2 linked regions of the Lepisosteus oculatus genome follow. The protein of the gene in region 1 interacts with the protein of each later gene in a pairwise test. Links are inferred from orthologs where the notes say so. Each region holds a gene or a part of one and is shown on either strand. Other genes may lie near its edges. The genes, in order: gucd1 and cystathionine gamma-lyase.

Region 1 (11,664 bases):
GCTTTTAAAATTACCCACCTCCTCTGAAATAACGCCTGCTCAAGAATCAGGAATTATATCAACCAGGCCTAATGTGTCAAAACACATCATCAAAAAGATGAAAACATATCAGAAATGCAGTTAACCCTAGCTATAATGATAACATATAGTACCTCTAATTTGGATACAGAGGCCCATGAAGGAACATTACAAAAAACTGACAGAATCTTTCAGGTGTCAAAAAAGTTATCGACACCTGCAAACACCTCCAGCTTGTTCTGCTTAGGTCTTGGACATCCGTCACCATTGCATCATAAGTAAGGTGCAGACAAACTGTTGTTAAATTTTCAAGCTTGCCGACCAATAATATACAAATACAGGATTGGCTTTTTCATCTCAAGAGGTGAGGAAAGCTCCAAATGAGCACATTTCTCGTTTCCACTCTAGAGAAAACCTGGGGATATTTCAAAATGGTACAGAAAACACAATATAAAGGGATCAAGCTTTCTGACCACTATCATTTGCGATAACCGATCATACTGTTGAGAATATCACTGAACCACTTTTGTTGGAACCTCAATACTATTTTTATATTTTCGTCTTTACATTAACCTCACAGAGAAGGTTTCCTACATCTTAAATTGCACGTTGATTTTAAAAAATGTGCCAGACTCTGCTTTTTCTCAATATGTGGAACTCGCCCATATGCACAGAAGGAAAAATCATAACACTGGACGTGTTCAGTCACATTTTCTACATTCTGTCCACAAAAAAAGAAATTCCCTTACTTTGACACCACCTGAAACACGTGGTTTATGAAGGTAGACAAATGACACAGTGATGTGTTTTTTTGTGCAATCAGCCATTTTTCCATTGGAACAAACAGCCCCATCTAAAGATACCATGCTGCCCAAACTTAAAGATCAAAGCTGCTAAGTTCTGGTGCAATGTCCTAGGCTGTAAACAAACAGCAAAGCTGTCACGGTGTAGTGCTCGTGTGCAGAAATCAGGCATGTCTCCCGGACATCAGCTCTCCTTGTAGACAAACAGAATGTCTTCGTCTGTCCCATAGCTTTTTCGTGCCTCCTCAAAGTTACTTACGCTGGTATAACACACTCCTGCAAAATACACAAGGAATTTTTTTGTCACTGAAAGCAAATTTCCTTGGATGCAGTCTGTGTTTCAGAATGCATGGAATACATTCCTGCAGTCCTTCAAAACCATGATCTTTCAGAAAGACATTTCTTTTGCTCTGCTATAATGGAACTATTTCATATTCCAGTTCTTACCACTAATCAAATCAAATCTTCTTTAAGATCACAGGAAATGAATTTTTAAATGTTATCTTCCATAAGTATCCCACTCTGGCATCAAAGCAGAGTATGTGTTCATACTCAGAAATTTTAGAGAGGATTGGATTTATAAAAGTTCTGTACTACTTCTAAGAAACACAGGAAAGACAAAGGTCTTGTCATTCAAAACGGCAATTCAATGAAGACCATGACACATCGGAACAACTTTTTTTCCCCCACAGTTGTTCCTTACTGTGGCACTCTTTTTCCATCTTCCCAAAGGAATCACTTCAAGGGGAACTCACTGTCTGAGTAAGCTGGGTTGTTGTAGAAGACAGAGTTGGTGGCAAGGTTGAAGCCACACACCACCACAAAGTGCCCCTGGTAGTCAGGCTTCCTGCAGAAGCACTTCTGGCCCACAGGAAGGAAGCAGCAATACTTGACAGGGGTGGAGCAGAGGTCACAGACCAGGAGCACAGCATTCACCAGCACTATCGCCACGTGCCCTTGAGCCAAGTGATTCTGGATGTCCTGCATCGTCACAGAGCTGTAGAAGATCAAAATCACTCCTGTTACAGGCTAAATCAACTAAAAAAAATAAAAGCATTGATATTTTCTTTAAACCGGACATATGTACTCTAAATCTTGGGAAGCTCTTCTACAATTCATTCCACATGCTCTCTTAACACCTTCACCTAATCTCTTATGGCTTGAATTAGTCCAAATTTCCACTGTATTCAGACGTTCGCCTTTGTTAATCTCAGAGAACCTGCAGGACCAGGGGAACATACAGTTTTCTTGCTTTAATCCCACTTCAGAATAAGGTGAAATGTGAGAAGAACATCAGCACTCACTATCCGGACGTTTACCATGTCTAACATTAACATTAACAGAGTTTAACGTAGAAGTCATTTTCAGGCTTGTAGTTTTATTCATAAGACTGTGGTTAAAGTTCTATTAGGGAATGGCCATTAAAAGAAAAAACACCAAAACAAGTTGGAAGCAGGTGGCACAAGCAGACAGAAGAGTGCATGTTGTAAATGTCATTGTTTCTCTGACATTTGCAGGTGTCTTGGAGATGCTAAGTAGACAAATGAAAATTCTATTTTCCTGCTGAAAGCAAGAACACAGCAGATGTAAAAAAAGGAAAGCAAAAGGACACAAAATGATAAAATACCTACCGTTTCTTCACCACCACCCCATTGCTCTCTGCCTTGTTAAAGAGCTCATTCACTCTGTCCTCTTCGGTGTCAAAATGCTTTTTGTAAAACGACTGGGGAATCAGAGGGAAGCTAGTCAATTACTTACATGTAAGGTTAAGTATTACATGACTGTTCACTTTTCGCAGGTGTGTCAAGGAAAAGGACCATAAAATTAAAGAACTCATGGAACTTTCCAAAGGAATAGAGGTGGTTATCCATCTGTCCTACCAAAATACTACTTTGGGCATGAATAATCTGGCCGTATAAAACTACTCTCTTAATTCAACTGGCAAAAAAATGTCACTTCTCGCCTGCTCCACCTGGGGCTGCTGGCTTAGAATGGCTGCAGTGTGTCTCTCAGGTGGGGGCTACACTTCCGTAGCAGAGACGTCAGTCCCCTCCTATATATATATAAAGAACTTTGATATCCTTTTGTAATGAAAACATCTATATAAGTGTATTAAATTCTTATTAAAGCACAATAAACATTTGTGACAACACCTAATGGCCCACTGCACAGTAAATGAACCAGTTGAGCTATTTGGCCAGAGTGCCTACAGGTAAACTGGATCCACTACCTAACCGAGTTACCTTAGCACGAAATATTCCAACCTATAGAGGTCTTTAGCCCTATAGTTCACACCAGTCGGACTGTCAGGAAAGTGCAGAGTTGGCCAGTACCTGGTTTCTGTAGCCCTTATCTACCCCAAGGGTCTGGGTGCAGAACTGATGTCTGACTCCCAGGTGGCTCATGAGGTAGGCCAGGTCAATAGTCCATACACTTTCGGTCAGCTTGAGCTCCCAGCAGGCATTCTGAAACTCCTCCTCACTCACTGGGTGGAGGTACCTACACAGTAACGTCAGGGGGCAATAAAACACAGCACTGCTGCAACCACTTCCTTATGTTCCAATAGCAGTTTGACCCATTGCAAGCTTTTAAAACTGCATTGTTAGTTCACAAAACTACAGCTGCATGCCACACATTCGCACTAAGAGCCACGACTCTAGCTATGCGATGAGCTAGATTTCCAGTTAGGCAACATAAAAAAAAACAATCATCATAAATTAAGAACAATAATCATTTTCATCACCACATTTTATGTTGTAAATGCTACTAAAGTTCCAGTCCATTCTGAATGTAGTCTACAAAATGTTTTTCACTGTCTTACTTACTTCAAAACCATTCTGGAACAAGCCAGCCCACAGTCCCAGTGATAGAGCTGCCGAATGGCAGGTACTTTCAGTTGAACAACACCATCTAAACAAATAAAAGGGCCTTGACGTGAATATACTCAGATATTACACTTCTGGTGTGTTACATAAAAACATAGCGATAAAATAAACACTGAAAACATGCAACCCTATATTGGACAAAGTGGTAAGAAATTGGATGGAGGAAATGTTAAATGCACCTACTGTAGCAACTAAACTGCCAAACAAGCAATATGGTCAATTGTTTCCTTTTATGCAGTAATACATATATAATTAGGGATCGTCAATGATTTCAAATTAGAAACTGTCTAATCCAGTGATTCCTAACCCTGGTACAGGAGAAACACTGCTTTTTTTTTCCTTCCAACTGAGCTCTATATCTCCATATCTCTATCTGACTTAACAGATCTGCATGCTTTTTTAGCAATTTATTTATCTTGTTTCTTTGTCTTGAATGCCACACATACCCTACTGTAAGGGTACTGTTTCCAACAACTACAGCACACAAACCTGTATGCAGTCTGTTCTCAAATTGCCGTCTAACTAATCACTGGTTGATAATGAACAGACACAGGTGGGAGTGAGAGTTTATCAGACATTCCCAGAATAGGCAGTTTTATTTTTCTTCTGCAGGAAGGTACAGTGAGTACTTCTCAGGCAGCACACACGCACGACACTCAGAAGTCGGTACGTGCTTGATACCAATTACGAATCCCATTTGGTATTTTAAGAGCTGAAAGCACATTTCCAAATGCGCACCGAAAACAGAACTGAAATCAACTACCTGCGATAAAATACACGGCTGGAGAAAAAAACACGGATATGAGCTACTCTTATCACTGAACTAAACTGTAAACACGCTGTACGGAGCTGTGTCAATCGGGATAGAGGGCTCAGTCACGGATGTTAACTCCATTTACGTGACCGGTGAATAAATGTACCTACCACGCTACTGTACGACCCAGGGTTTATTTACAGTTAATTCGATAGTGGTTCGTGTAGTGTTTTAACTTGTTTTACACGCAGGACAAGAAGTGCATAGCAGGTTGAAGGACATCTGTGCTCAGCCGCAAAGCGAACTTCTGAAACCAGTCACACCACTGCTCCTCTTAATTTATTTTCAGATGCCTGACGAGAAACAGTCGTGTACATTAAAACACTTAACACCTGTGGTAACAGGGCCCGCAACACCTCGACAGCACGACGGGACCTTTCCTGGAGCCTCGAAATCGTTGAATATGTTAATTTCCAACAAGGGCTGATTTAAAACAAAAACAAAGCGGGACCATCCCAAATCATCCAGTTCGTCGACACGGAGTACTACGCTAACGCTCCATCTTACCTGTCATTCTGTGCTGCTTGTTTTTTATATAATGCTGTTAAGTCCTTTTCACTTTCTGCGCACGATCTGGCGATTTTCAGAGAGGAAACCGTCTCAGCACCACGGCGCTGGGTCTGTTCGCCGGACATGAACATTAGGAGCCACAGTTACGACCCCGGTCCGGGCCGCCTCTCTCCGGCACTACAGTGCTGATCTGCTGGGCACCTCTGCCTGCATCTCCGCCGTACGCAATTTCCTCTTGCAAAACGAGGACTTCCACAGACGCTCATTTGAAAACCGCTGCGCCTACAGCGCCCTCTAAACACAGTCAAGGAGGGACGAGAACTAGAATAAATAGGCTGTTCTTATAATATATTGTACTCCAGTGTACTACTCGTGACAGTAGATGGTGAGATATTCGGGGCGATCACAAATTATTGGGGAGCAACTTACAACTGGCTATTTCTTTTTTTATTTTAGTTTTGTTGGGTAGCTGCTTAGAGCCATTCTTAAACGTCACAAAATCAAGTGCATCTTCAACTTGTTTTTCTTTCCTTTTCAGAAAAAGAAGGGGTTTGGAATAAACCCAGCAAGTGACGAAGAAGAAGGTTTAATGAAATAATAAGAACTTATACATTGATGAGAGTTACTGTATATCTTTACAAATGTTTTTCGTAGCACAGTAAAAAAAAGTTGGAGCAACAGAACATGTTTCCTCCTTGTGTGGTATTTAGTAAAAAGAAAGCCCGTTATACTTATTTTCATTCTTGAGAAATTTTAGAAGACGTTATGTTGGTTAAACTACAAATCCCAACATTCATCATAACGACGGAAAAACCCAAATCGAACCGGAAGCACTTTGTGACTTCCTTTAACGCGTTGCATTGTGGGGTATTGGAAACGAACAAAATCGTACTCCGAGGCGGTCAGGTTTTAAACACGCTGCCGTTCACGATTAAAACCGGGAAACGGTTAAATAAGAGAAGGAATTCAATATTTGCTGTGAACAGGTAAGAATTTTATGTTTCATTACAAGTTGTAAGATATTACCTTTCTTTTAACGAAGGGAATCAAGATTATGAGTTCGTTGAAGGTAGGAAATGAACTTGATTTGAATGGCGTGGAAATACTTTACGTTAGAAAACAAATATACCTTCTCCTGAAGTATTTTCTCCCAGATGCAAAACAAAAACTTTTTTTTGCTAATGAGATGGGTTTTTTTTTTCCCATAGCTAAAGCTACCCAAGTCTCTTTGGGCTTTGCCATAACACAAAGGCCGTGTCGAAGTAGAGACCGTTTGTTCTCATTTACTGCTTTGAAGAATATGTTTCGAAAGTGCAGAATATCTGCTTCGAAGATTGTTTTAGTGAATGTTGCTTAACGCACTGGTCTATTATCTATAAAAAGAGTTGCCTAATTTTTTTTTTAATCTTGTGAAGTGCACATTATCACATCTATTTTGTAAAATGTATGCTAACAAACTGTCAAAAAAGTTAAAAGTACTAGTGAATTTTGCTCTGGGGTCCATCTTGATCACTGATAGTATATACCAGGTTAAATCAGATTGCTCTTTAGACTCGAACTAAACATGCGTACCTATGAGTAAATGCATCCAGTATCCAGGTTTTGATTCCTTTGTGAACAGCTAATGGCCTGCTTGGTCCATACAAACCCTTTACAATTGTCTAAATTCAAAATCTAATACTCGTTACTGAATGCATTTTAATCTTGTTACCTAATAACAGGCATTTACAAAAACGTGTGATGTGTAACCTTAACTTGTGTACAAACTGAGCTGCAGGACAGAATCTAATTTATCGGGCATGGGGTAGAGATGCTGGCTTTTTCCAAGGTATCCAGAAGCATGGTTTTTGTGTGTTCTAGCCTAATATTGCTCACCTGGAATTATTTGCCTCCCTGTCATGGTGTTTGTTTAGAGGTCCCAGTTAAAATGTCCATCGGAGTGCCTATCAAAGTTCTGCATGAGGCCGAGGGTCACATCGTCACCTGTGAAACCAACACGGGCGAAGTGTACAGAGGAAAGCTTATAGAAGCAGAGGACAATATGAACTGCCAGGTAAGCCTGATAAGTGGTTGAGATGAGAAATGCCAGGGGTCACAAAACCAAGCAAACCTTTTAGGCCAGTGACCCCATATAATTTCACACATTATGTGCTTTTGATGGATTCTTTGAATTAATCTCATGCAGAGTTGTGCACATGCAAGTGAATTTAAAGCTGCTTTTTTTTGTCTTCCAGATGTCTAATATCACTGTGACATACAGAGATGGACGTGTGGCGCAGTTGGAACAGGTCTATATCCGGGGCAGCAAGATAAGATTTCTAATCCTGCCGGACATGTTGAAAAACGCCCCCATGTTGAAGAGTATGAAGAACAAAAACCAGGGCTCTGGAGCTGGAAGAGGGAAGGCTGCCATTCTCAAAGCTCAAGGTATGTTGTTCACCAGACTCCAATTCAGAGGACAGTTCTCCAGGTGGTGTGTTTCTGTAGAGGACTTCAGCGTGATCAGCAGAACCCTACAGAAATATCAAAGTTATTGGTTTTTATTAAATTTATTCCTTAGCGTCCATCGTACTGATGACTGTCTTGAAATAAAGTAACGCCAGCTAGAAAGTGCTCTTCGATCACCACCTGCTGACGTGTGCATCGTTACTTGGTTCTACACCTACGTAATGACCTGGGTTAAAACTCCTTAGGTTTAGGTGCATGGGTTAAGGCCTTCATTAGAAGTAAGACATTCGTATCAGGTCACGTGGCTGCTAATAAGTTACTGATCTGAGGGGCCTGTCATTTCTTGAACGATGGAACTTATTCCAGAGCAGCAGTATTGTTGGTAATCTGTTGATCGGCATTGCCAGTTAGTGCAGCTTGTTTGCAATTATAGGGTGATTAACACGTACTGTATATTGTGTCCACTTTTTTCTTTTTAAGTGGCTGCGAGAGGAAGAGGCCGCGGGGGAATGGGAAGAGGAAATATTTTCCAGAAGAGACGATAACCCTCAATGTGCACTTCATGGCCTTTTCTTACTGTACAGTTTTTTTAAAAGGTTGGGTGATCATTCACGATGTTGTCTGTTAAAAGGCAAATCATTTTTGATTTTTTTTTTCTGGCAAGTTTTTTAGGTGCTCAATAAAAATAGGTATAATGTCCAGTGTTTGTGCAGCTCCTTTACTTTCACATTTTAACAAATCAATATTCAGTCAGTACTGTCTTTAACATTTGATTTACTGCAGTCGAATCTACATGAAAGGGGCAGCTGTTTATGTAATTCAACATATTGATCCTCATAACAGCCTTTAGGTTTGGTCTAAAGATGATTTTCAACTTCTGTCACTTTTGTACTGACTTATAATGAAGTTTGTATTGTAAGAAATGTCGGGTTTCCATTCAGTCTTGTTTCAAAAACATAATTCACCTTATGAGCTTCTCCAGAATTGATGCATTGATAAAATAATGTCTAGTGGACAACATAGTCTGGTTTTGTTTTAATAGTAATTCATATCTTTGGCCGTTAAATAAAAAACTTATGTTGAACATGAGTGCAGCTGTGCCTTTTTTTTTACTCTTCAGGTTTCATACTTTGTTCCCAGTGATCTGCTGGTGTTTCAGTTTTGTGTAATCTAAATCTGGCAGCTTACACATCTTCCACTCTAGTGTCTCTGAAGCTCCCTCTTAATTCAGCTGAAGCCATTTCTGACTCCCCCACCTGATCTGCTCTGTAGAGGAGCTGTTGGTGCACATCTACCACTTCTCTCAGGTGGGTGCTGCTCTTTGGCAGTGGGTGAAGTGCACATTCAAATATGCAGAGTGTGTTGAGGTGAAATGTTATAGAAATCCAATACATTAGAATATAGAGACTGATATAGTTTTACCGACGAGGCCAGTGCCATTCATGCAACATGCCTGATTCAAATAGTTTCAAAGTACTTTGTGGAGAAATCAGAAGTAGGGTGGTCTCATCTTGGGATAAATGTCCTGGGTTTTATGTGAAGTGTTTGAACAGTGAATAACACTGTCACGGCTGGACTGCTATATATATATATGTAACTTTTTTAGAAAAAAATATGGCAGGGTTTTGTTTGCATGTACAGTTAAGAAAATACACAAACATCGGCACCCAGCAAAGAATCGACATTAAAAATGAACGTCGAGAAACATTGATTAGGACCTTTCTGCCCACGAGAGGGCGTCAGAGAGCCACAATTTCAGTGTACGTGGGTGTTATGCGTCGCTAATGCATATTTCTGTAACTTTGAGAGGTAATGGGTTGCGAGTTAGTCAGATATGAGCGTTTAAGTATGATGCAGCGTTCTCACGATTCAGACATTTTTAAACAGGGATACAGCTTTCTCCTTCACCTCCATTGCTAGCAGCCTATTTGCTTAAATTCACCATTTCTCGCCGGACACAGAAAACGTTAATTGAATATTTAATTTCACCAAAAGCATATATCGTTAACCGTTCGCTTGCCCGCTGCTAAAACCGTATTATCAACAGTATATCGCGGCATGGTATTCCGAAATCGAAGTACTAGTAATCGGTCAAAACTGATCAGACTCATTGTGGGGGAAAATCCCCATCTGAGACCAGTTCTGTAGGTTTACAGCTTGATCCCGCAAAACACTCCTCAGTTGAAGGAGGAGGATTTGATCTGTTTTATGTCGGGATTGGACTATCCCACTTCCAGTCCACCTATCAGCGCCCAGTCGTCCGCTCTCCCTGCCAGACAGCCTTATTTGCAGGGAAATCGTGCGATGGTGTTGGGAAAGTAGCGGAATCTGCAACATTTTCTGACGGGGAACATGAAAAGGTAACGCGTCTCCCTGAGATATGCACGGCTGGGAATTTCGCCAGGAAACGCGTGCGGTTTGGTGTAATGCGTTTGCGAGCGCGGTCTTCCGCTGAATTTGGCTGTTTGTGATTTTAACATCTGTCTTGTTAACTACAGCCAACGGGGCATGCAAACTCTCCCTCTCTTATCCCTCGCAAGAATGTGCGATTGTGTTTGAAAGGCGGGCGTTCGTCTCTCAATTTACTTTTCACTTCGTACTTGCCGAGTGTCCAGCCTAGTTGGCATTATGATCACAGGCGGAGAGAAACATGGGTGCGCGTTATAAGTGAATATATATTTTCACAATTAGCTAGTATTAACCGTGATTCATTAGTTCAGAACGAGGGCTCTGGCCTTTAAGAACACTTCATAGTTGAGAATGCGTCCTCGCAGTAAGAGCAGATGATTGCGGTTCAAGAAAGCGGAATCGGCGATGTGAACCATTGACAAAAATTGCACTCCTATTGCAAACGTCTCGGGCCGCGATCTCGCACACTATTTATTCTGCTGGGTAAGAGGCCTCTGATTTTGAGGGGGGGGTGGGCAGTCGGTAGGTTTTGCATTATTAACAAGCCCGGCCCGTGTTGTAGGATGTGTCCGTACAGGTAACGCCGATTTTCGCATGAAAGCGAAGGGAGAAATGAAAAGATCTCGGCGATCTTCACCCCACACGGTTGTTTTGGTTGTACTTCACTGTACTACGGCCGCTATACCAACGTCCGCTGGGTCCTAAGACTACACGCGGCTCTCAGCATCTTGACTGAATCAGGTCAAGGGAAAGGGTTTCTTTTTTGGACTAGATCATCGTCTGTTTAGTGCATCGTGCCTGCCAGTAATTACAGTATGTGTGGTTAGTTGTTTCTAAGCATTTTGACTAGATAGCGCTGCCAAGTCGTATGGTCTTAAATATTATAGGTTTAAAGGAAATCAAATTTAAATAGTCTCGACATTTACTCACGTAAATGCATATCTATACAAATACTGCTTGTCCCGGATTTTTGTTTCAAGTTTGGTATTACTTTGTATCATAGCGCTGCAATGTGATTGATCGTTTACACTCCCCGAGGGTCACAGTCTTGCGGGGTTTCATACACCTCTTTAAAAAAAGATTATCCTCTTTAGATCTGAAAAAGAGAGATACACTGGCTCAGTTAAGGGAGTAGTTAGTTCAATTACTTAACAGCTCAGACAAAATCCAATTGCTTTTGAAAGTGGGATTTGAGAAACGCTATTGTAATGGTGTTTGCAAGGTGTTTAATCCAGGCTATGTAGCAATTACTGATGTGTCAACCCCAGTTTTGGGCCTGGTTGAAGAAATCAATAATAGCATGAACTCTCGTGATCTACGGGTGTAATGGTAATTGAATGTCCCATGGCTGAGTGACTGTCACAGTTGTTTTGAAGCAATATCTCAGCTAAATCTCTAGCATGCTGTGTGGGTTTCCCTATGGGTTCCTGTCACTGCAGTGTGTAAAGGGATGAACAGTTTTTACTTGTTTCCACCTCAGCCCCCCACTGTGCTGGAGCAAGACTTTATGAAACAGCCTGTTTTTGATGACAGATTGGAATTGTTACAAGTGCATTGACAGCATCTCTCTCTTGCAGTGAATTCAGCCGACTTGTCAGTGAACATACAGTCTGATACTGTATGTACGAGACATTCAGAGGCATTAGTGTAGAGTAAGACTTATGCGTCTGATAATGGTAATAATATGAGAAATGTTCTTCAATCACAATCTCATTTGATTAGCATTGTAAAAAAAATAAGAGTTGAAATTTTGTCATCTTGAAACTACCCCCCTATT
Region 2 (12,268 bases), on another chromosome or scaffold:
GATACCATCACCAGTTTTCAACAAGTGAGTGATGGTCATTGTAGCTGCTAGTCCAGACGCCAGTGCAATACCTATAGAAATTTTACAGTTAAAAAAATACCTGCAATAAATCCACGTTTTAGAAACGATACTTTACTATGACTACTTATGCATCTTATTTGAAAAATATGAGGAAACTCTTTACTTTGTCATGTAATTCCAACAGAAAAAAGGTTTTATCAACACTAAAATCCACTTTCTGCAATATTAACATGATACAGTTGTTACAGACAGCTCACAGATTGTTCTTTGAAAACCCACGAAGAAGAAAGATACTGTAGGCTGACTTACAGTATTTCGCTCCGTCCAGAACTGCAACAGCTTTCTCAAGGCAGTTCCGAGTTGGGTTTCCACTACGGCTGTACTCAAAGCCCTTTAAAAGAATTAAAGAAATGTAAGGAATTGCAATGTGTCCTGCTTCTCAGCTACCAAAATATTTAAAGAGCAGGCTGAGAAAGAAAAAAACATTTGTTGTAGGTGCTACCAAAAAAGGAAACTTTTTTATTTTGATAAATGTTAATTACAGTTAATTTTAAAGAAAGCTGAGTTTGGATTTTCTGGTTAGTTTTCTGGCTAAGTACACTTTTGAAAGCACATTTTTATTCAAATAGGGTCAAATAGGGTTAGAAACAGTTCATTTACCATGCAAATTAGGTAAAAGTGGTGCAAAGCGATAATGTGAAGTTTTACTGATGAGAGAGATCCGTACTGTATTTCAAAGCTATGCCCTACTATGGTGACTGGGAGCTCTACTGTAGGAAGTGCCTCAGACAAGATGATAAACCTGTCACGACTGTAGTCCCTCCTCCTCAAGGGCACTCCGGCTCTTTTCACTTTCGACTTAATTCTGTGCACCTGCCCCTTGTTCCAGCCTCCTCCCCATCCCCCTTAAAAGCCAGATACTCAGTCAGTTCCGGGCTCTGCATCCGATTTCCACATCGTGCGAGCCCAGGTCCGGATGAGTCTGGCTCTGTCATGTTTTTAAGTCCCTGTCCCTGTCCCTGTTCCCTCTGCCGGTTCCGACCCGGTTCCTGGTTTTAATCTCCTGGATGGATCGCCTGGCCATGGACTTACTGTATGCTTGTCTTTTTGGATTCCCCGTCTGGATTACCTTTGGATTGTTTGCCTTGGGCACACCTCCCCCGTGCACCAGCGCACTTTGGACACGCCCCCCTGTTTTCATCCCCGTATTCCTGCATGACCTTTTTCCCCAGTGTTTCCTCACTACTTCGGATTGTGTTGTCTGCATAGGGTCCGGAAAAAACTGTTCGTTACAAAACCGAGATCCCTATGACTAGGTTATTAAAAATCCCAGTGAGCTACAGTACTTGAAAGGGTGTTAACCCCCGTGCACAGACTTAATTTTACTCACAGTCTGAAAACTATACAGAATTCAAACAGGTGTGTTCAATTTTGAACTAACCCGACATTGTATTCTTCCGATTTTTTAATATGAACTACCTTTTATTGAAACTGTATGCATGCAGCAGGAATATATTTAAAATGACTGATTGTGATCCTTGTGTTAATTTTACTTTATGCTTTCATCTTTCAAGATATTGAAACATTTTGAAAATTAAATCAAGTAGCATAATGTTTACTAAATGGTGGCATTTTAGAGTGAAATCCTTTCCCTTTTAAAATAATGGGCCAAAAACATTTTTTTTTTTACGTGTTATAACTTCAAGGTTTACATTATGCAAGAGCTTGAAACCACATCAAATAAAATCATTTATAACATGTTATGACCCTGAAGCAATCCTAAATCTAAACATGCTAGAGCTTTATAGTAATGAACAATTAAGAAGTATAGTGCAAACAAGAAGTACAGTTTCCACATGTGAAGAAAATCTGTGTTGTAACAAACTTCTCTGCATTGCCGAGTCCACAGCTGGTTTTATGATGAGATTTCTAGGGCCCCCAAGAAGGCTGTGCATGTCTCTCAATGCAGTTCTCCTTGAACCACTGAGTTTCTTGATTTATTCTTTTCCTCATCTAGACAATTTTTAGGTTAAAATAAAAACACTAACAGAATGATCACATACATAGTAAAATATTAAGCTGCAAGTAAGGGATGTTACACAATCTATTCATATGACCTTATTTAGAATACTGCGGGCAGTCGTTAACATTGTTACAAAAGAGATATTGCTGTCATGGAAAGAGTTCAAATGGGTGAGTGGTTCCCAGGTTTAAAGGCAAATCATGCATGAAAAGATTAAAGGAGCCATTTGAGTCTATCACAGAGAAAGGGAATGGGATTTAAAACCCCAAAAAGAATGGCTTCCTCTCACATTCAGCTTTTGACCATCTTGCTCATTTGGTAATTTAGTAACTAAGTGGATCAAATTCTTTGTTCAGCCACTTTTTGTAGGAGCTCACAATAGTCCCTGGCCAGTGCTCACCTGAGTCCCATAACTATTGGCCTGGCTGGTCTCTACAACCTCCCTCTGCTGAATGCAATCTTCTTGTCCCTCTCAGACAATATGAACAGGTTGGTTTCCCTCAGGCCAGGCTGGGTGCTTCAGGAGCTCCAGGCGGACAATACACGGCTGCACGGATCGTGTACACTGCCTACCCAGAACTCGAACCAGACGATTCTCTTCCCCCCTTGCCCAATCATCAGCAGCCGAGTCATCCATCGGAGCTTAACCCCTGACCTGTGTCTTTCCACGGGCTCACTGGCCGATTCACTGGGAGGAAGACGGAGATTGCAGAGCCAGGGTTAACAAGGGTGAGCAGCCACTTGCCCCCAGTAGTATAAGAGATGAGCAGATTGGTCCCATTTTTGCTCTGACTTGCTCAAGCTATCCTTGCTCTCTGACATCGTCTTCTGCCACTTGCATTGACACTGGGTGTGCCCTCTTTTTCAACACCCCCAGAAGGGCTGGCCTCTTTGTTTTGGCAGGGCATGTTTGATTTCTGGTGCTTTAACTGTCCTCCCTGGTTTTCTAAGTCAATCAGATTTCATTTGTCAAGACTGCTTCATTCCTCTTTTCTCTCCCTACAGTTGGATCCAAACCGAAAGGCTCTGTTGAAGCTTCCTGATGTAAACTAAATCAGGGGTCCTGGTCTTGGTCTAATCATCTGCTAGTTTTAATTCCAGCAGTGTTTAATAACCTAATGGAAACCTTTATTGACAAATTGGTTGATTGGAACGTTTGCAAGTTTTCTTTTTCAATGCAAAATGCAATGCAAAAGCTTGCATAAATTTACTTATGAAATGCAATAGTTAAAAGGCAACCTCCCACATATTTCAAAGCTGAAAACAATTCAAATTAATCCTATTATTACATCAATCACGGGTTCAATTGTGCAATTGAGAGCTCAGCTGGAAGAAAACGAGCAGGAGCATGAGTCTCCATGACCAGAATTAGGAGCCTGTGGTCCAGGTGGTGTCATTCCTCTTTCAAGCTGCTTTCTTTCTGGTAGTCTGTGGTGGTAGTGCACAGGCATGTTGTACAACTGCTGGTCCGACTCTTTCACAAAAAGGGCTTGGGTCTCTGCACAGATCCAGGAAGGTCTGCAGGTCTGAAACCCATGCAGTCTATCATGGGGTGGTGTTATGTGGATGGATGGCCTGAGGAGTGCTCTTGAAAAGGGTGGTGAGATTTGTTTTCCTGGAGCTGCTGTAGGTTCTTTCTCAGGTGTGGCCATGTAGGGACTCTTGCCAGTTATTGCAACATCCTCCCACTATCTGACACCACTGCCGTGCTTTGAATGTGTCCGTGAGTTCAGAGGATTCTCCAGCAAACACATGCTCCAAACTGTCAAGAACAGCACAAAGTGTACAAACCGGTAAATCAAGAGACCTAAAACTGCAACAGGTTCAAGTAGGGACAAGCACCACGACATAGTTCACCCTAGACAGTAATACACCCAGCAGCTCTATAACCCTGCAACTCACAACTGGCAACCTCCTGAAGCTCAGCAGGAGTGAGCATGGCCAGTACCTGGATGGGAGACCTCCTGGGAAAGCTAAGGTTGCTGCTAGAAGAGGGGCCAATAGGGGGCGCTCACCAGTGGTCTGTGTGGGTCCTAATGCCCTGTATAGGCACTGTTTTTCAAATGAGACATAAAATGGAAATCCTGACTACCGTGATCATTAAAAAAAAACCAGGGCATTTCTCATAAAAGAGTAGGGTTGATAATCCCGGTGTCCTGGTCTCCCTTTACCAATCATTGTCTGTTCTTCTCTTCACTGATAGGTGATGTGTGATGAGTGAACTGGCGCACTTTATTGCATAATTGGTAGTGGTGGAGGGTAGTCCCCACTCACTACCTGTAAAGTGCTTCAAGTGAAGTGTCCAGAAAAGCACTATATAAGTGTAAGGAATTATTATTATCCAACTCTCCAAGCCAGCACAGTGGCTCCCATATTCATTCCCTAGCCCTTATGATATCACATTGATCATGACACTAGGCTAGAAGATTAATGACATATTGTCACTGGGGCCAGTCAGGTTGAATGGATGTCTACATGTATAGGATTGGTACACAGTGCTTATTTAAATACATAATTCTCATTGCTCATTGTTAGCTCATTGTTGGAGGACTGCTAGGGTGACATCGGTTCATACTCAAGCACCTTCTGTGCACTGGGTTCCTGAATTTGTCTGATTCACTGTGCCTAGAAACACTGGATACACTAGATACACTGTGTCTAGAACTAAGGAGAACTGCTAACCTAAATTTGCTTGAAACCCCCTGAGAGGCCACTAAAACTACTAGCTTCATGTTCATCAGAATATCATATTTTATATATTATATGGAAGAGTCTGGGGATAAAGAAATGGACAACCATTGGTCACTAAAACATTTACATTTTTTACTTTTCCTGGTCAAGGAGTTATTCATTAACATGAATTCATTTACATCCAGGCTTCAACAACTACATTGCAGAGTAACATTGCTCTGTGTCTAGTCATTGACCACCTGTCACTGTGGGCAGTGAAAAGCACTGTCATCACTATCTGCTGAATACCAAATGGAATACTTTTAAATATCACTACCCAGGTTTTAAAAAGATTAGCAGTTACAGCTATTACATGATAGTTTGAGGTCTTAATATAAAAAAGGTAAGGCACTAGATTTTAAGTTAAGCGCTTGCCCTAACAGCACGGTACGCCTTTGAAGACTCTACATATCATAAAGCTTATTAGGATTCCCAAAGATCTCCTTTTGTTCGACTAGTCCGATCGCCTAACGAAAAAACACGGTCCACAAAACTATGAAAGGACTATGAAATAGAAATACGAAGTCAAATGGGTCGTGCATTATAACGACGATCAAGAACACCATTTCAGCAAATTATTTTTTAAGTTGAAGGGAGGCCCATATACGGGCAAAATCTCTTTTTCTTTTCTCTTCTTTGAAATGCATTACAGTTCAATGTATAATATTAATTCTGCAACTTACTGCATGTTGACCAGGTCCATGCTGTTTAAACGTGGTTGAGAGTGAGATGGGCGGCACTACAGCCATGGACGTCCACTGCTCTGGCTCTTGCCCAACATGGATTGCCTGTGTTGCAAAGGATTTAAAGGCCTCCAGAAACCCAGAAGAGTCGTGCCGTGTGCGCGAGTCCATGACTAGATCTAATGCAGTAGCAACGTGTCACAATGTCCTGAGAGCTACACCAGCGTGCGGGCCCTTGACAAGAGAATGACAAGAGAGAGGGTAACATGAAATACGAAACGTCCGGTTTTTTAACCAATCAACGGAGAGTGCAGAGAGGGAGAAGTCGAGCTCTATTGGCTTGTCAACAGGAGGCGTTGTCAGACATGTGACTGCTTTACGAAAGTAATTGTTTCTGTAGTCGTGTCGTCATGATGCAACATGTCGTTGTTTTAGTTACATGAATAAAAAAAAGTTTTTTTTTCTGTGTGAATGGTTTTGAGATGGGAAAGCAGGTTTCCCCTTCCTTATGCAAGAAAGAGTTAAATAAATTAAGCTCTCACTGAGAATCAGCAGCGCCCAAACGGGCATGCAAATAAGTACAAAATAAGCAGGGTTACAAACGAGAGGCCATTGTCCCATCCAGCGCTTTTGATAGTTAATAATTGATCCGAGGATCTCATCCAACCGTTTATTGAAAGCAGCTTGCTCCACACTCCCACGGCCCTTTGTGTAACGAAGTGCCTCCTGTTCTCGGTTTTAAATGCTCTCCCAACCAGTTTCCATTTGTGCCCTCTGATTTATTCAGTCTTGAATATGCTCAGCATACGGATTTCAACTATTTGGACCGCGGCCAAATTCATCAAAGACCTACACAAATTATCTCTGACGGATTATGACGTTGGCGCTCAAATTGTATGACAATAACACTGAACATAATTGATTTTTAGAAGGGATTAATACAAATTTCATAATTCAGATTGTTTTGGATGGCCTCACTTACCAAACGTTTTAATATAGTGAAATAACACGGAGAAAGTTGTGTTCTCGTGTCCTCTAAATTAAAAACGTATTTTTGAAGACAAAATGTCTCTGAATAGTTGCATTTTTTATACTCGAATTGATCAAATGAGATTATTTTTTGCACGAAATCGATACGACAAAGAGCCTGGGTAACTAAAACTGAGTGTTTGGAGGCTGCGTTTTTTCATTTTGACCAATAGGGGGTGCCACTTGGCTGGGACGAGATTTAGATGAAGTTCAGGAAAGGTTCTCGTTACTGTTACTTCATGAGTTCTAAAAAAATGCGTAACCGCAACGATTCCGCAAATATGAGAGACCAAGTGGGCACATTGTCTTACAAATTAATAGAAATGGCACAATAACTGCGCACGGCTGTAACCACAACAGTCTTGAACTGCTATGGACTGTCGTCGTTCTTTTGCTGTCTTATATCGGATTTCTGCAGTTTATTCTAAATCATATAAATCAATCACAACTAGACTGACACCTTGGAGGAACACATCACAATGACCTCAGAATAGGTGGTATTAAGCAAATAGCCTTGTCCTCAACAGCAACGTAGATCTGAATCTGTATTTGTGATAGAATGAGACTTTTGCAACCCTCATTGTAATTCAATGCAGTTCACGGGATGAAAGAGACAGAAAATAGCAATTGGCACGATATAGACTTATTCTTAACATGAATGCCATGATTGTATTGCCAGAGACTGCAAGATTATCCTCCTGACTTTTTAATGTTTTTTTTTCATCAGTAACTATAGGTGTGTTCGCTGGTGAGTAACATCCGTATGACAAAGGTAGTATGCAAATCATTTGGAATTTGAGCTCTTCGGCTAAACTAAAAAATGTTCCTTATATTGGAAAAATTAATTCTAACGAGTTATAATAAATAAAAGGCAGCAAAAGGTCATTAAAAGTATCCACGGCTTATCCAATACAATACATTGTGTAGTCAGCGAAACTGTGTAAGTACATATGCTGTAACCAGTGTGCCGCCGTGCCACTCAAATTCTTTACGATATTTAGAAATGTATAAAGCTCGAAGATATGTTGTCGTTATATTTTTTACATTATTTTTGTAAGATGAGGGTGGTGCAGTAGTTAGCATTGCTGCCTCGCTGCGCTAGGGCCCCGGGTTCGATTTCAGACCATGGATGTTATACGTGTGGAGTTTGCACGGTCTCTTCATGTTTACGTGGGTTTCCTCCCACACTGCTATAACGTGGTAGTAATCTGGGGAAATTCGTCCTGATGTGTCAGCATGTCTGTCTGTGTGCAATGTGATGGACTGCCGTCCCGTCCAGAGTGTACACTCACTGCCTTGCGCCCGTTGCTTGCCGGGATGGTCTCCGGCGACTCAATTGGATAAATCGCATAGAAAATGGATGGATGTTATAACTATGTTGGTTTAAAGGTTATCTGCTTATAAAAACTGAGTCGCCCAGCACAAATACGAGACCTAAAACAAAAAAAAGATATACAGATAAAGTCAGATTATCATCGTAAGGATACAGAAACCTTATTTAATGGAAAAACACCAAAATGTTCCCCTTATCTGAATTACGCATGTACATCACTTCATAAATATATTACTTTCCGTTAAGACAACAAAATTGGGATTCGCTTTTAATGAAGATATTTTCTGCCATCTGTCATACCAACCGCAGTTTGCTACAGGTTTATTTTACCAAAAACATCTCCTGCATCCAAAACAGCGAATAATTATTTTCAAACCCTAACTGCAGTAACTCCATACAGGTTGAAAAAACAACCACACATCGCGATATCATCTAACATCCTGCTTGAGCCTTGGAAACCCACTTGGACACTCTCGCGAGATTAGAGGCGGAAGATGGCTGTTGGGTCTTCTCTGGAGTCGGAGGATATACCCTGCAGGAGTAGCCAGCATAGGGACGTTATAGTTTGAGGGAGCGGAGTGGAGCGGTTAGGGGATCCTCGGTTTTCTGTGTGTATGCGCGGCTTGTCAGTTTTCGTTACCGTATGTTACAGTTTGGGGATTTAGTGTTTTCATGTTGTGCGGACTGCTGCTTTTGTCTCGGCATTCCCCAGCCTATCTACCGCTGGCATCCTCGCCACCGCCAGCGACACTTTCCGCCTATCCCTCCATCCCTGGCATCAGCATCCCCCTCTGCGAGTTTTTCTGAGATTTAAAGAAAAATGACCGGCGAAAAGATACGATCCCTGCGCAAGGACCACAAGCCAAGCAAAGAGGAGGATTTACTGGAGCCCGACGAGGAAGCCGCCGCCGGGACGTTCACCTCCTCCACTACCCGGACTAGTAACAGAGGCAAAGCCAATAAGATTTTTAGCAATCACAAGCTGATCAAAGCGCCGGGGCCACAGCAGCTGCATCAGCAATCTCAGATCAATGCAAACGCGAACACTAACACGGCGACGGGGACTATCGATGACAACAACAAGAACCCCATAACCCGGACGACGGAGGGTTTCCCCGTCCACGAGTGCGTGTTCAAGGGGGACGTGCGTCGGCTGTCGTCCCTGATCAGGACCCAGAACATCGCTCAGAAGGATGTTCACGGTAAGCGAACCCACTCGGGTCGCCTTCTCAAGTCAGGCTGAAATGTACGAGAACTTTTTATGTCCGGCTGTGTGCTCGATATTGAGCTACGTGTCCGTGGCGTATTTAGACGCGGGGTTTGCCTGACGTTGTAATTGCGACTTCTACAGCGCAGACATGCACCGCTGCGATGACATTTGTGTTTGGGACAGCAGTGTTACTTGGAGACCAGCCAGGTACCCCCCTCCCCCGCTGTAAAAGATTTGTGGCTTGTGGAGCATCACCGAGATTTGCTTTCCACATCCCAGATGATTCACAGCCACTGAAGTTGACAGGCTGCATTGCAAAAAACGCGTGTCTCTGGTGGGACAACTGAAACCTGCCTTCTGTAGGCATATAGAGGGATTTGGTCTATTCCTATATAAGTTACAGTTCTGTATGCAGCTGTTTATGTGTTGTACCCGGGTTGCCTTTACTGTTTTTCAGTCGTTTCACTTTTAGTAGACTGAAGTTGTGTTAAATATACCCTCCAGAGTACAGACTCTTTTTTTCAATTGCGGTGTCCACAGTACAAATAAATCCAGTTTTATGTGAAAAATGTTTCCTGTTCAGTGTGCCTTCAGCTGTATTTGAAAAAGATTTTCTGCTTTCGGTTTGTTTCCACGTGAATGTGGTTATGCTGCGTTGGCGAGGGGCTGTTAAAACATGCAATAAAAAGCGTACAAATCTCAAATTCAGGCTTTGACGGTGGTTTTCCTGTCTTGTAAACGTTCTTTACGTGGAGAAGCATGGCCATCTTGTGAAATACGTCTTCTGCCCCCTTTTTTTAGAAAGCACGTTGGTAGACGACTCTCCTGGCTTCATAATGATCTTTTCTCTGAGCCTGGGTATGTGGGCAAATAAGAAGAGTGTTTAACAAGCGGTCTCTTTTTGACTTGTGGATATGCCTGCCAGTACTCTTCACTAAAACCTCCTCATATTGAATTGCTCTAAAATGTTATTTTCACAATCACGCGAGCGGCCTGCAGACACCTTTGTCTTGTAGAAAAGTGCAAATCATTAAATGATTGTTTAACAAGCTTGATATCTGGGAATATTTCGTCCTGAAAAAGATGTGCGTTGCAGTGATACTACAGTCCCAAGTGCTTTTGGTTTACATGCCGCAAGAAGAAACAGAATTGCTTGGATCAGAACATGGATTGATCAAGAACAAGCAGTCTTTAGTTTTTACAGCGTGGCATTAAAAGAAGCTTATTTTTTTTTTCTCCTTGTCCTGTTTTTGTCCTTGTTGTTTAGGATTAACCTCTCCATCTGAAAATCTCTTCCTGCATGCAACCCAACCATTATCTACAATGACTCTGACATTTGTCATTACTCTTATTTGAATCTCTTACTTAACCAGTAGTGTGAATCGAAAACAAGTTCTCATTTGCAAATGATGGCCTAGTGTGTACCAGTTTATATTTCAGAGCATTGCATCCCCGTGGATGAAGTACAGTACCTTAGTGAAGTGTACGAAAATAGCATCCAACCTGCCATAGAAGTCCTGTGGTTTGGAGTCCAGAGCTGCTGTCCTCAGAAACCGCATGTGCACCAGGATTTTGACAGGAAAGGTGTTAATTATAAATTCACCATCACACATCTCACTGTTGAGAGGATCTGTTCTCAATGCCTGTGCGAAAATGTGTAATACTGATCATCTGTTCACTTAATCTAACTAGAAATGGTGCTTGTGAACAAATCGGTAAAACTGTTCCGTTATTCAACACGGTCTGATCATTGGCAGGAATAATGAAGAGCTGCTGATCAGTGTTACACGTTTACTGCCAGTATCCATCTCGGCAGAGGCGCAGTGCCTCTCATCATCTCAGTTCATCTTTTTCGATCAGAATTAAAGCATGATTTAAGATGGAAAAATAATGATTTCTTCTTGGTGGAACTTCCACAAAACAAGTAGCTGGTTTGTGGATGGTGCTTTGGGAAAATATAAAAGGAGTTTTTTTTGTAAACTAACAGCTCTGTAAATACACATATCCTGACACATAGGAACAAGTGAAGGTTTATTCCATGCAGTAAAGAGAAGTAAAGAAAGAAAAGGTTTTGGCTCTGGAGCCTACTTCAGGGGTCAGGCACGCAGTTACCTACTTGAATATCTTGACACATGTATACTAATGAAGCTGCTATCTACAAAGCTTCCTATTAAGTATATGCCTGATGTTGATTACTAGTATTTATTTTATGGGGTGCAATACAGTAGATATGCTTTAGTGAATTAATTTGTTTTGATTTTTTTATATGAAAAACCTTGCAAGATACACAGCACATTTCTGTATTTGTTCCTGATGGTATCATTCATGCATCTATTCATATGAAGACAATTCAATAAAGGGCTCTACATTATCCCTTTTAGGTGAGAAAATATGTATGTATGTTGTGGATTAAGTCAAAGCAATTTTAAAAGGGGAGGAAGAATAGGGACTATTGATGAAAGAGGGTGGGGAATATTAATAATGATCCAGACGTGACATCTTGGGCTATCAAATGAAAGAAATGGATTTCTGTTTACTGTTCATTGGTAAGACAATAGAGAAAACCAAAGGGAAAAAAATAAAAACAAAATATGGAAATGAAAAAACATATCTGCCCCAACTCCTTAAAGAAGAAAAATAAAGGAAAATGAAGAAACCGCATCCCCAACACAACATCTTGACTTGCATGAACAATCCACATTGTGCTACAGGTTAAAGTGTTGCAGGTTCAAGACCAGTCCTCTGCATGTTACTTCACATAAAGCATCATCTGAGCACCAGGCTTCTTTAAATAACAGGTCTGAAGTATCAGAATTCCAGTTTAATCCTGCTTTCGACAGAAGAGGGTTTCAGTTGGAGGGGTAAAGCTAAGAGCAGACTTCAGTGAGGGGGAAAAGAGAAGAGGCTTGAATGAGCTCTGAAGGAAGCTATGAAATCTAAGACTTCATTAAAACTTAGTAAGAAATAAAGAGAGCCAGGAGTATTGACACGTCAACTATCTATACCATATATCCTGACTGATTCCACCAGTTATGGCATACGGGAGGGCTTCAAGATCTAAGGTTACAGCCAGAACATAACAGGACCAGGAACGATCACATGAAATAAAAAAAAAAAGTTGAACACAACACTAGAGGAAATGGAGAACGAAAAATAAATGTTTTTCAGCGGCAGGCAAATTAATAAGGAAGCACAAAACCAGGAAGGTTTATTCCTTCTTGTAGGCACGTGCAAAACTC

What was found.
Region 2: the proteins of gucd1 (region 1) and cystathionine gamma-lyase interact in binary tests that used the Homo sapiens proteins (3 or more experiments, as listed by UniProt). The two-hybrid records come from large-scale screens. The link is inferred for Lepisosteus oculatus from reciprocal best matches to the Homo sapiens genes GUCD1 and CTH.

The regions. Positions count from the first base shown.
Region 1 is NC_090717.1:9,774,759-9,786,422, reverse strand, and holds the start of gucd1 (protein GUCD1), read right to left. Parts: upstream 5,316-11,664; 5' UTR 5,035-5,315; coding exon 5,028-5,034; intron 3,732-5,027; coding exon 3,647-3,731; intron 3,321-3,646; coding exon 3,155-3,320; intron 2,545-3,154; coding exon 2,453-2,544; intron 1,819-2,452; coding exon 1,577-1,818; intron 1,098-1,576; coding exon 1,006-1,097; 3' UTR 1-1,005. Other genes in the region: small nuclear ribonucleoprotein Sm D3, read left to right, coding at 6,958-7,083, 7,265-7,457, 7,959-8,023.
Region 2 is NC_090704.1:30,439,636-30,451,903, forward strand, and holds the start of cystathionine gamma-lyase, read right to left. Parts: upstream 5,732-12,268; 5' UTR 5,629-5,731; coding exon 5,458-5,628; intron 413-5,457; coding exon 331-412; intron 72-330; coding exon 1-71. Other genes in the region: ankrd13c (ankyrin repeat domain-containing protein 13C), read left to right, coding at 8,640-9,021. UniProt on the Homo sapiens protein: Catalyzes the last step in the trans-sulfuration pathway from L-methionine to L-cysteine in a pyridoxal-5'-phosphate (PLP)-dependent manner, which consists on cleaving the L,L-cystathionine molecule into L-cysteine, ammonia and 2-oxobutanoate.